Linked DNA regions of Cricetulus griseus. The protein of the gene in region 2 interacts with the protein of the main gene of each other region in a biochemical or structural test. Links are inferred from orthologs where the notes say so. Each region holds a gene or a part of one and is shown on either strand. Other genes may lie near its edges.

Evidence for each region.
Region 1: the proteins of Ppp2r1b (region 2) and Ppp2r2a form a complex in vitro, tested with the Homo sapiens proteins (2 studies listed by BioGRID). The link is inferred for Cricetulus griseus from reciprocal best matches to the Homo sapiens genes PPP2R1B and PPP2R2A.

What each region holds. Positions count from the first base shown.
Region 1 is NW_023276807.1:222,050,879-222,055,255, reverse strand, and holds the start of Ppp2r2a (serine/threonine-protein phosphatase 2A 55 kDa regulatory subunit B alpha isoform), read left to right. Parts: upstream 1-1,334; 5' UTR 1,335-1,637; coding exon 1,638-1,644; intron 1,645-3,362; coding exon 3,363-3,437; intron 3,438-4,377. UniProt on the Homo sapiens protein: Substrate-recognition subunit of protein phosphatase 2A (PP2A) that plays a key role in cell cycle by controlling mitosis entry and exit. Involved in chromosome clustering during late mitosis by mediating dephosphorylation of MKI67.
Region 2 is NC_048597.1:162,634,944-162,638,756, forward strand, and holds part of Ppp2r1b (serine/threonine-protein phosphatase 2A 65 kDa regulatory subunit A beta isoform), read left to right. Parts: intron 1-3,370; coding exon 3,371-3,526; intron 3,527-3,813. UniProt on the Homo sapiens protein: The PR65 subunit of protein phosphatase 2A serves as a scaffolding molecule to coordinate the assembly of the catalytic subunit and a variable regulatory B subunit.

The DNA.
Region 1 (4,377 bases), on a different chromosome or scaffold from region 2:
ATATGTCCTTTCTGCCAGAGATGAGGGAAATGACCTTTTCTTTTCTTTTCTTTTTTTTTTCTTTTTTCTTTTTTTTTTTTTTTTTTTTTTTTTTTTTTTTGGTAGAGGGGAAATACCTTCACAAGTTCCTGAGGAATGCTAGCTTTTATCTAACTGCTAGAAATCCTCCTATTGTCCAGGTTGAGCTCATTTCTGGATATTTGGACTGCCTTTTGGAGTTTGGAGACTTGGAGTTTCCTTTGGACCTGAGAGTATCTCTCCTACCCCCACCCGCACCCCCCAAGAGAAGGTTTCTCTGTGTAGCCTTGGCTGTCCTGGAACTAGCTCTGTAGATCAGGCTGGCCTCAGACAGGGATTCAGCTGCCTCTGCCTCTTGAGTACTGTGATTAAAGGACTGCATCACCACTACTACCTTGACACTATTAAACAAGGGCACCCAACCTAGCTAAAGGTGAGCCGGAAATGGAAGAAACTGTCAGAAAAGTCTGACTGGAAGAGGCTACATTTAAATAGATTTAGTTTCTTCTCCTTTTTTGTTTGATGTGTGTATGTGAGACAGGGTCTCATATAGGTAGCCCAGGCTAGCCTCAAACTCATTATATAGTTCAGGTATCCTTAAAATTTGGAGCCTCTTACATTCACCTCACAAAGTGCTGCTGAGATTGTAGGCATGTGTCACCACAGCCAGCAGAATATAGATTCTCAATCATTGATTTTACCACTTTTATCTGAACAGACCTGAGTCACTTTTTTTTTGTGCCATTCACAACACATTTAACTTTCTGTCGGGAGCCATTCTTAACTGTTTGCGGTAGCCAAGAACTCTCATCCATGGGAAGGTAACCTACTTCACCCAGATGGAACCAGCCCAGTTGTGTCTTTCTGGGCTCTGTGAACTCTCACCTTGGACAGGCAACGAGTATGCATCACTGTCCCTTTATTTTGGTGTCCCTGGGGCTCACCCAGTGTCGCTGGAGCATCTAAAGGGTCTTCTCCAGGGAGAGCCAGCTCACCCTGTGGGTGAGAAGTAGACAGATGAGACCATCCTGGAGTCCCGGCCCTGGTGCAAGGCTTTGGGACAGTGTGAGGTGCAGACAGGCCAAGCTGCCGGCCCACTTGGGCACTGTGGGCCAACTTGGCATAGTCCACAGCCAGAGCAACTAACCACTGCCCCAGTTCGGTGCAGAGCTCAGAGCAGGGTCACAGCGGGCGGGGCGGAGCGAGAGCCGGGCAGGAAGGAGGCGTGACCAACACAGCGCGACCCACCCCAAAGGCGCTCCGCCCCCTGGAGTGACGTCACCGGCCAGCCAGCGGGCGCCATTTTGAAAGTGGAGTCGCCTGCCCCTGCCGCCGGGCCGCCGTCGCTGTCGTAGCCGCCGCCGCCGCCGCCGCCGCCGCCGCGCCGCTGCCCACCGGGGAGAAGGATCACGAGAGGGGACGCCCCCGAGTGAAAGCTTCTATCCTGCCGGCCGCTCCGCCTGAGCCGCTTCCCTTCCGCCCCGATTCCCGTCCCCTCCCCCTTCAGGTGCCATCCGCCTCCATCCGCGCCCTCGATCCCCCCATCCCCAGGTGAGGGGGCTGAGCCCCGGTCGCGGAGACCCCGAGGAGCCCGGCAGGGTCATCATTTGCTGCACGACATGGCAGGTAAAGGAGAAACGGCCCTCGGCCGGCTGACAGGGTGCCGCTTCCTCTGCGCGCTCTCCGTCACCCCCTAGCGACCGTGGCGGAGGGGCCTTGGCCTGGGGCGCTGGCCGAGTGCGGGGCGGGCGGGCGGGCCTGGCACTGGGCTGGGATGGTGGGGCCTGCAGGCAGGGCCCTGGGCCTGGCACGGGCTCGGGCACGGGTGCGGTGGGGGTGGGGGCCTGCGTGGGTGGGGCGGGTGCCGGCGTGCAGATGGGTCCCCTCTGCACCCTGCTCCCTCCGCTCCTCCGCACATAGTCATTCCACTCTTCCTCGTCTGCTGCGAGCCTTCCTGCAGAAACATATCCTGCACGGATAAGGAAGAGCGCTTTGCAAGTTAAAATACAATGGAGGCATATGTCCCCCCCCCCCACACACACACGTTATGGCTAGGTCAGATTTTGAGGGTGTAAGCCTGAATTTCGTGGCGACTGTGCTCCCTCCCATGACTTAGTCGTTGTCACCACGAGTGCTAGGCCTTTAATAGAAGTTGTTAAGGGTTGGGGTGGGAGGTGGGGAGAAACAGGTAATTTAAACTTTGCATTTTGCACGCTATCGTTCGTGCAGATGTCCTTTTCCCAGAAGGGTTTCTCGGAGTTAAAATAGTTGTGGAGTTCAGTGATATAAATAGAGAGAGAAAGAGGAGAGAGAGATTTCATAAAAGCTTGCAGTGGGGGAAAAGCACGGAGAAACCCTGATTGAGAATAATTTAGCAAGGAACAGGTAAAGGAAAAGCGAGGGTTAATAGCCTTTGAGAGTCGGTTATCTTTGTACATTTTGATCTTGAAGCCCTTCTGCTAGTAGAGTAATTCTAGATTGAGATTCAGTTTCTTTCCCAGAAATCCAGGAGTGTCGTGCCACCCCCCCCCCCCAATTTCCTTTTCAGTCCCGGGCAGTGTCTGAGATTAAACCAGTTTTCCTTGTCTTTTCCATATTTGCATAGATAATAGGACTTCTAAAGAAGTTATGTTGGGCTGATTTACCATTTACTATACAAACAAACTGCCCTTTGACCTTGCCGAACAATGAAATGATAATTGGAACTGTTTTGTAGGAGATGACATATTAGCAAAGTTGCTCTTTCTGGGCCCTTTGGGTTCTCTGGTTAGGTGAAAGGAGGCAGAGTCAGCATCCTTTGACCATCCTTTGACCAGGCATTCATTGCCACCCCTTTTCCTGTGTCTGCAGCCAGTGATTTGCGCCTAATGAATGCAAAGAAATGGGTGTTGTGTTTGCTGTGTCCATGCTTCGGTGGTAGGGCTCACATGAATCACTCCTCCTCTCAGGAAGTAATGTTCCCGAAGTTTTCTCTTCGTTCTATATTTCATGGTAGTTTAGCCCTTTGCACATTTAAAGGAAAACTAACTTTGGGTATTTACTTTGGTTTCTGGTAGGTCTTACGTGAAAGGCTTTGTCTTCAAGGGGCAGGGAAAGTGGAAATGAGGTTTTGAATATCTTTACGATGATAATGATTGATAGACTGTATGCCTTTGAATATTTCATACCTGCAGTCTTGTTTTGAATGCTCTACCAGCTGTCAGAACTTATTTGGTTCCAAATTCGTGGGCTCAGTGGTGACTGTGTATGTGGGTAGTATCATGCTAGTCTCAGATACCATCTCCGTGTTTATGAGAGTAAACAGAACAGAACTCCGTTTTAATTGCTATGTTTTCTTCTTCTAGGAGCTGGAGGAGGGAATGATATTCAATGGTGTTTTTCTCAGGTGAAAGGAGCAGTAGATGATGATGTAGCAGAAGGTAAGAAAGTTTAACCATGACAACTGAGTGTTGACTTAAGTTCTGTGTACTGAAGGAACACGAACTAAACTGAGCCTTGAAGAATGTTTTGTGTTGTCCAAGAGGTGGGACAATAGTTTTAAAAATCATCTTTCTGAAAAAGTCTTTACATCTCTTTTTCTGTCTTGTTTTATTTTTTCATTGAGTTAATGAAGTAAATGGTGAGCAGTAAGTGCTCTGAGGTTCCTGTAATTGAGGTTTCCTTGTTACATACATTCTACATGCAAATAACTGGACTTGGATGTTTGTGTTTTGTCTTTAGATAATTAAGCAGGAATAGATGCCAAGAACACTTAGCTCAGAAATCTTTTATTCTATGAGGAGACTTAAGTTCTTTTGAACTTAACTACTTTGTGACTGTAGTATTGGTTAACATGTTTGCTGAAAAAATGCTGGCTCAAATTATTCACTTTATATTATCTTTCAGGGATTCATATGTGCAGTTAAGATATAATAATAAATCACTTTTCTAGGGGACTTTTTGAGATAGAACCTTGCTAATTTATTTTAGAACTTCTCTGAAGTTTTGGAATGTGAAGGCCTTGTACTCATTCTGAGACAATCTTTTTTGTTAGAGACAGATAATCTCCAAAAGGATGGTTACATTATTTCTTTGTTCAGAAATACTGCAGGTTTGTGGGATTGGGGTGTGTGTGTGTGTGTGTGTGTGTGTGTGTGTGTGTGTGTGTGTGTGTATGTGTGTGTATGAGAGAGAGAGAGACATGCGCATGCACGCACGCACGCACGCACGCACTGAGACAATCCCTGGGATTGGGGGGGTGTGTGTGTGTGTGTGTGTGTGTGTGTGTGTGTGTGTGTGTGTGTGTGTGTGGTGTGTGTGTGTGTGTGTGTGTGTATGTGTGTGTGAGAGAGAGAGAGACATGCGCATGCACGCACGCAC
Region 2 (3,813 bases):
TATTGTGATATGGAGGTGAAGTGTTTCCTGGAAACCTGACTTCGTTAATTTCTACACTAGTGTATGGCATTACTATACACAATAGCAATCTTAGATCTAAGGGTCTTGGTTTCTTTGGTGTAGAAACGATAAAAATCAGCAACCCCTAAATTACTTAATACAGTTGTTTTCAGTTTGGATGGTGGAGATGGTTGCAGGGTCATCTGGATCTCAGTTTCCATATATAAAATGGTGTGGTATTTGCCACTGCTTGTATACATCCTCTTGTGTACTTACTCTAAGTCACCTTCAGGCTACTTGGCAATACCTAATCAACATAAAGTAGGGCTGGAGAGATGCTTGCCCAAGCCTGGGGACCTGTGTCTGGTTCCCAGAACCCATACAAAGCTGGACATGGTGGCATGCATCTGCAATCCCAGAACTCCTATGGTGAGGTGGGAGGCAGAGAACAGGAGGATCACCCTGAAAATCATGGGCCAGCCAGTCTGGGGTGCACAGTGCAGCTCAGCAAGGTGGAAGGCAAGAACCAAATCCTGAAAGTTGCCCTCTGACCTCCACATATGTGCTGTGGTGTGTGTGTACCTACACACTCTCACAAACAATAAATAAAAAATCCACAGTGTAAATGATCTGTAAATAGTTGTTATACTACTTACTTGAGGGAATGATGACGGGAAAACAGTCTGTATATATTTACTACAGACAAAGAAAATTTCCCAAATATTTTGATCCTTGGTTGGCTGACTCCATTGATGTGGGGAAACCATGGACACAGACTGACTGTTATCTACCAGCCTGTTTTAAGTAGCTGCATGTATTATGGAATTAGGTTCTCCTAACAGCCCATGGCATAGATACTCAAGGAAATGGAGGTCCAGCTAGTTTATGAAGCTTGTTCAAGGCTGTATTTAGCTAATTGTGGTGCAGTTGGGGTTTGAATGTATGTGGGCTTCAGCTCCAAATTTCTAAGTCTTATAATTTGAACACTGGCAACATTTCAAGCATGCAGATGCCACACATACATGGTGGTTTCCATGTTGGAGCAGGGCAAGCTTAGCATCCTTATTTGGAATTTAGCTGGTTATACTTCCCATGGCATAATTTGATATTTTCTTTTATCTTCTATACTTCCTGCAAAGTAGTAGACTAGGGGTTTGCAGATTTTCTGGTGAAGGACAGCCAGGAAATATTTTCAGTTCTGTGGATCATATATCCCTGTTGTAATTGTTGTGGCTGAAGCAGCCACAGAGTATGGAAACCAATGGACATGAAACTCACCAATTTATAGGTGGGGCAGGCTGTTAGCATTTGTTCCTCCAAAAAATATTGAATGCTTTGTTAGGAAATATGTATACACTATGCCTTCTGTGACAACTGGTAGATCCGCTCATGGCTTACTCATTAACAGAAACATTTATTGAGTGGCTACATAGAGTACCTACATATGTGAGGCACAGTTCTAGTGTTAAGGACATACAGGGACCCTGCTTTCATGGAACTTGCATTTTAATGAAGAAAAATGAACATGATAAAAATCAGTCGTAAATGTCATGGAAATAGTGTAACAGAACACTGACCGTCAGTCAGCAGAATGCTCTGAAGAAGTGACAGCTGAGAGAAAATGCCGTCTCCGCTCCTTCGAGGAGCGTAAGAGCCCTGTAAAGAGAGGGCATGAAATAGGAAAACACCAGCATTGGAGCATGGTGGTTGGATGAGTCCAGTAAGCGGGAGAGTGGAGAAGGGAGCGGTGGGAGCATCGGTAGCCCACAGCAGACTCCAGTTTTGGAGTTTTTTTCTTTAGACGCAGTGAGACTCTACCTATATCTGGGGAAGAGGTGTGCCGTGTAGTATACATTTTTGAAAGGTCATTCTGGCTTGTGGGTGGAAACAAAGTTGTAGGAAGTATAAAAATAGAAAGAGAAGGCCAGTTAGGTGATATTGATAAACCAGGCAAGAGATGAGGGTGCTTGTGTGCTATGTTGGATTTGTGTGTGTGCTTGCGTCAACACACACACTCACATGCACTCTATTGTATTTGTGTGTGTGTGTGTGTGTGTGTGTGTGTGTGTGTGTGTGTGTGTGTGTTCTGTTGTATTACGTATGCGGTGAATTTCTTGCTCCATTTCTCTTGGGTATTCATAGGGTTTTATTTTTGATCTTCCCAGATCAAAGTCCGAAGTCATAACTCCTGATGTCAAATTGAGTCTTAATTCTGTGTTTTCTCTTACTCAGAAGACATTCTTGTGTACCATTTGGCATTGAGCAACTCTATATATGGAAAAGCAGGTTGTCAACTTGCCTTTCCAGTTTTCCTCTGCTGTTTTACTAGACATGGTTATCTCTCTTTGAGTTTCAGCATTTCAGTTTGACTCTGTTATTTGGCTATTAACTTTTCACTCTTTTTGTGTCTTCCTTTGTACATTCCGTCTCATGCTACTGTTATGGCCAATGAGTAGTTGGAAGTAGCTTTCAAAGTGATCTTCCTTGTCCTTTAAACTCTTAAGTACATTATTAATTAACTTCTTGTAATAAGGCTTTGAATATAGCATTAAATTAAAAATCAATCTTTATATTTTGTGGCCACTCAGATGTCCTAGTGGTAAAGCGTTTTTGCCTGATGTCAGTGCTCAGAACCACGGGAAGGTGGCAGATCTGCCTCCAGGAGGTTGTCCTCTGACTTCACACACATTCACTTGCAATAAGTAAGATTTTAGCAAGTCCTTTTCATTTTATTTAATAAAAACCTGGCTGCAGTTAAGATAATTTGAACCAAGTGCCACTTTTATGTCTTTCACATGCAGTCTTTCACATGCAAAGGAAGAAGTTACATATTTGGAAGTTGTCTTAGTTGGGGTTTCTGTTGCTGTGATGAAACACCATAACCAAAAAAGCAAGTTGGGGAGGAAAGGGTTTATTAACCTTCCCTTCTCAATTGTAGTCCATCACTGAAGGAAGCCAGAACAGGAACTCAAACAGGGAAAGAACCTGGAGGTAGGAACTGGTGCAGAGGCCACAGAGGGGTGCTGCTTAATGGCTTGCACCCCACATGGCTCGCTCAACCTGTTTTCTTATAGAACCCAAGACCACCAGCCCAGGATGGCACCATCCACAATGGGCTGGGTCCTCCCCATAAATCATTAGTTAAGAAAGCGACCTTCAGGCTTGCCTCAGCTGGATCTTATGGAGGCATCTTCTCAGTTGAGGTTCCCTCTTCTCATATGACTCTAGCTTATATCAAGTTGACATAAATTAGCCAGCACAGTAGTTTTTCTCTCCCTCTTTCTTAAACAGTACCTGTGAGAGCATGGCCTCACTACACGAAGTGCGCCCTGTTTGACCAAACTGACCAAATGTAATGTTTTTCCTTTAGGATTCTGTGCGCCTGCTAGCCGTGGAAGCTTGTGTCAGTATTGCCCAGTTACTGTCCCAGGATGACCTTGAGGCCTTGGTAATGCCTACACTTCGGCAAGCAGCAGAAGATAAATCTTGGCGGGTTCGCTATATGGTAGCTGACAAATTTTCAGAGGTAAAATGCATTGGCATTTCTGGTATTGAAAACCTCAAAGGCATTTGCCCTGCAGATTTTCTATTAGATACAGCTTACACATTCTATTGAATAGCTTTGAATATAGAATCAAAATTAAAAAAGAAGACAATTAATCTTTCTATTTTGGGGTTAGTGAGATGGCTTGGTGGGTAAAGTGTTTGCCATTCATGCCTGCCAGCCTGTTGTGGTTATAGCATACATTTGAAGATTGTATTAGTTTGTTGTTATTAACTGTTTTTGTTAGTGTACATTAAACCTGTATAAAT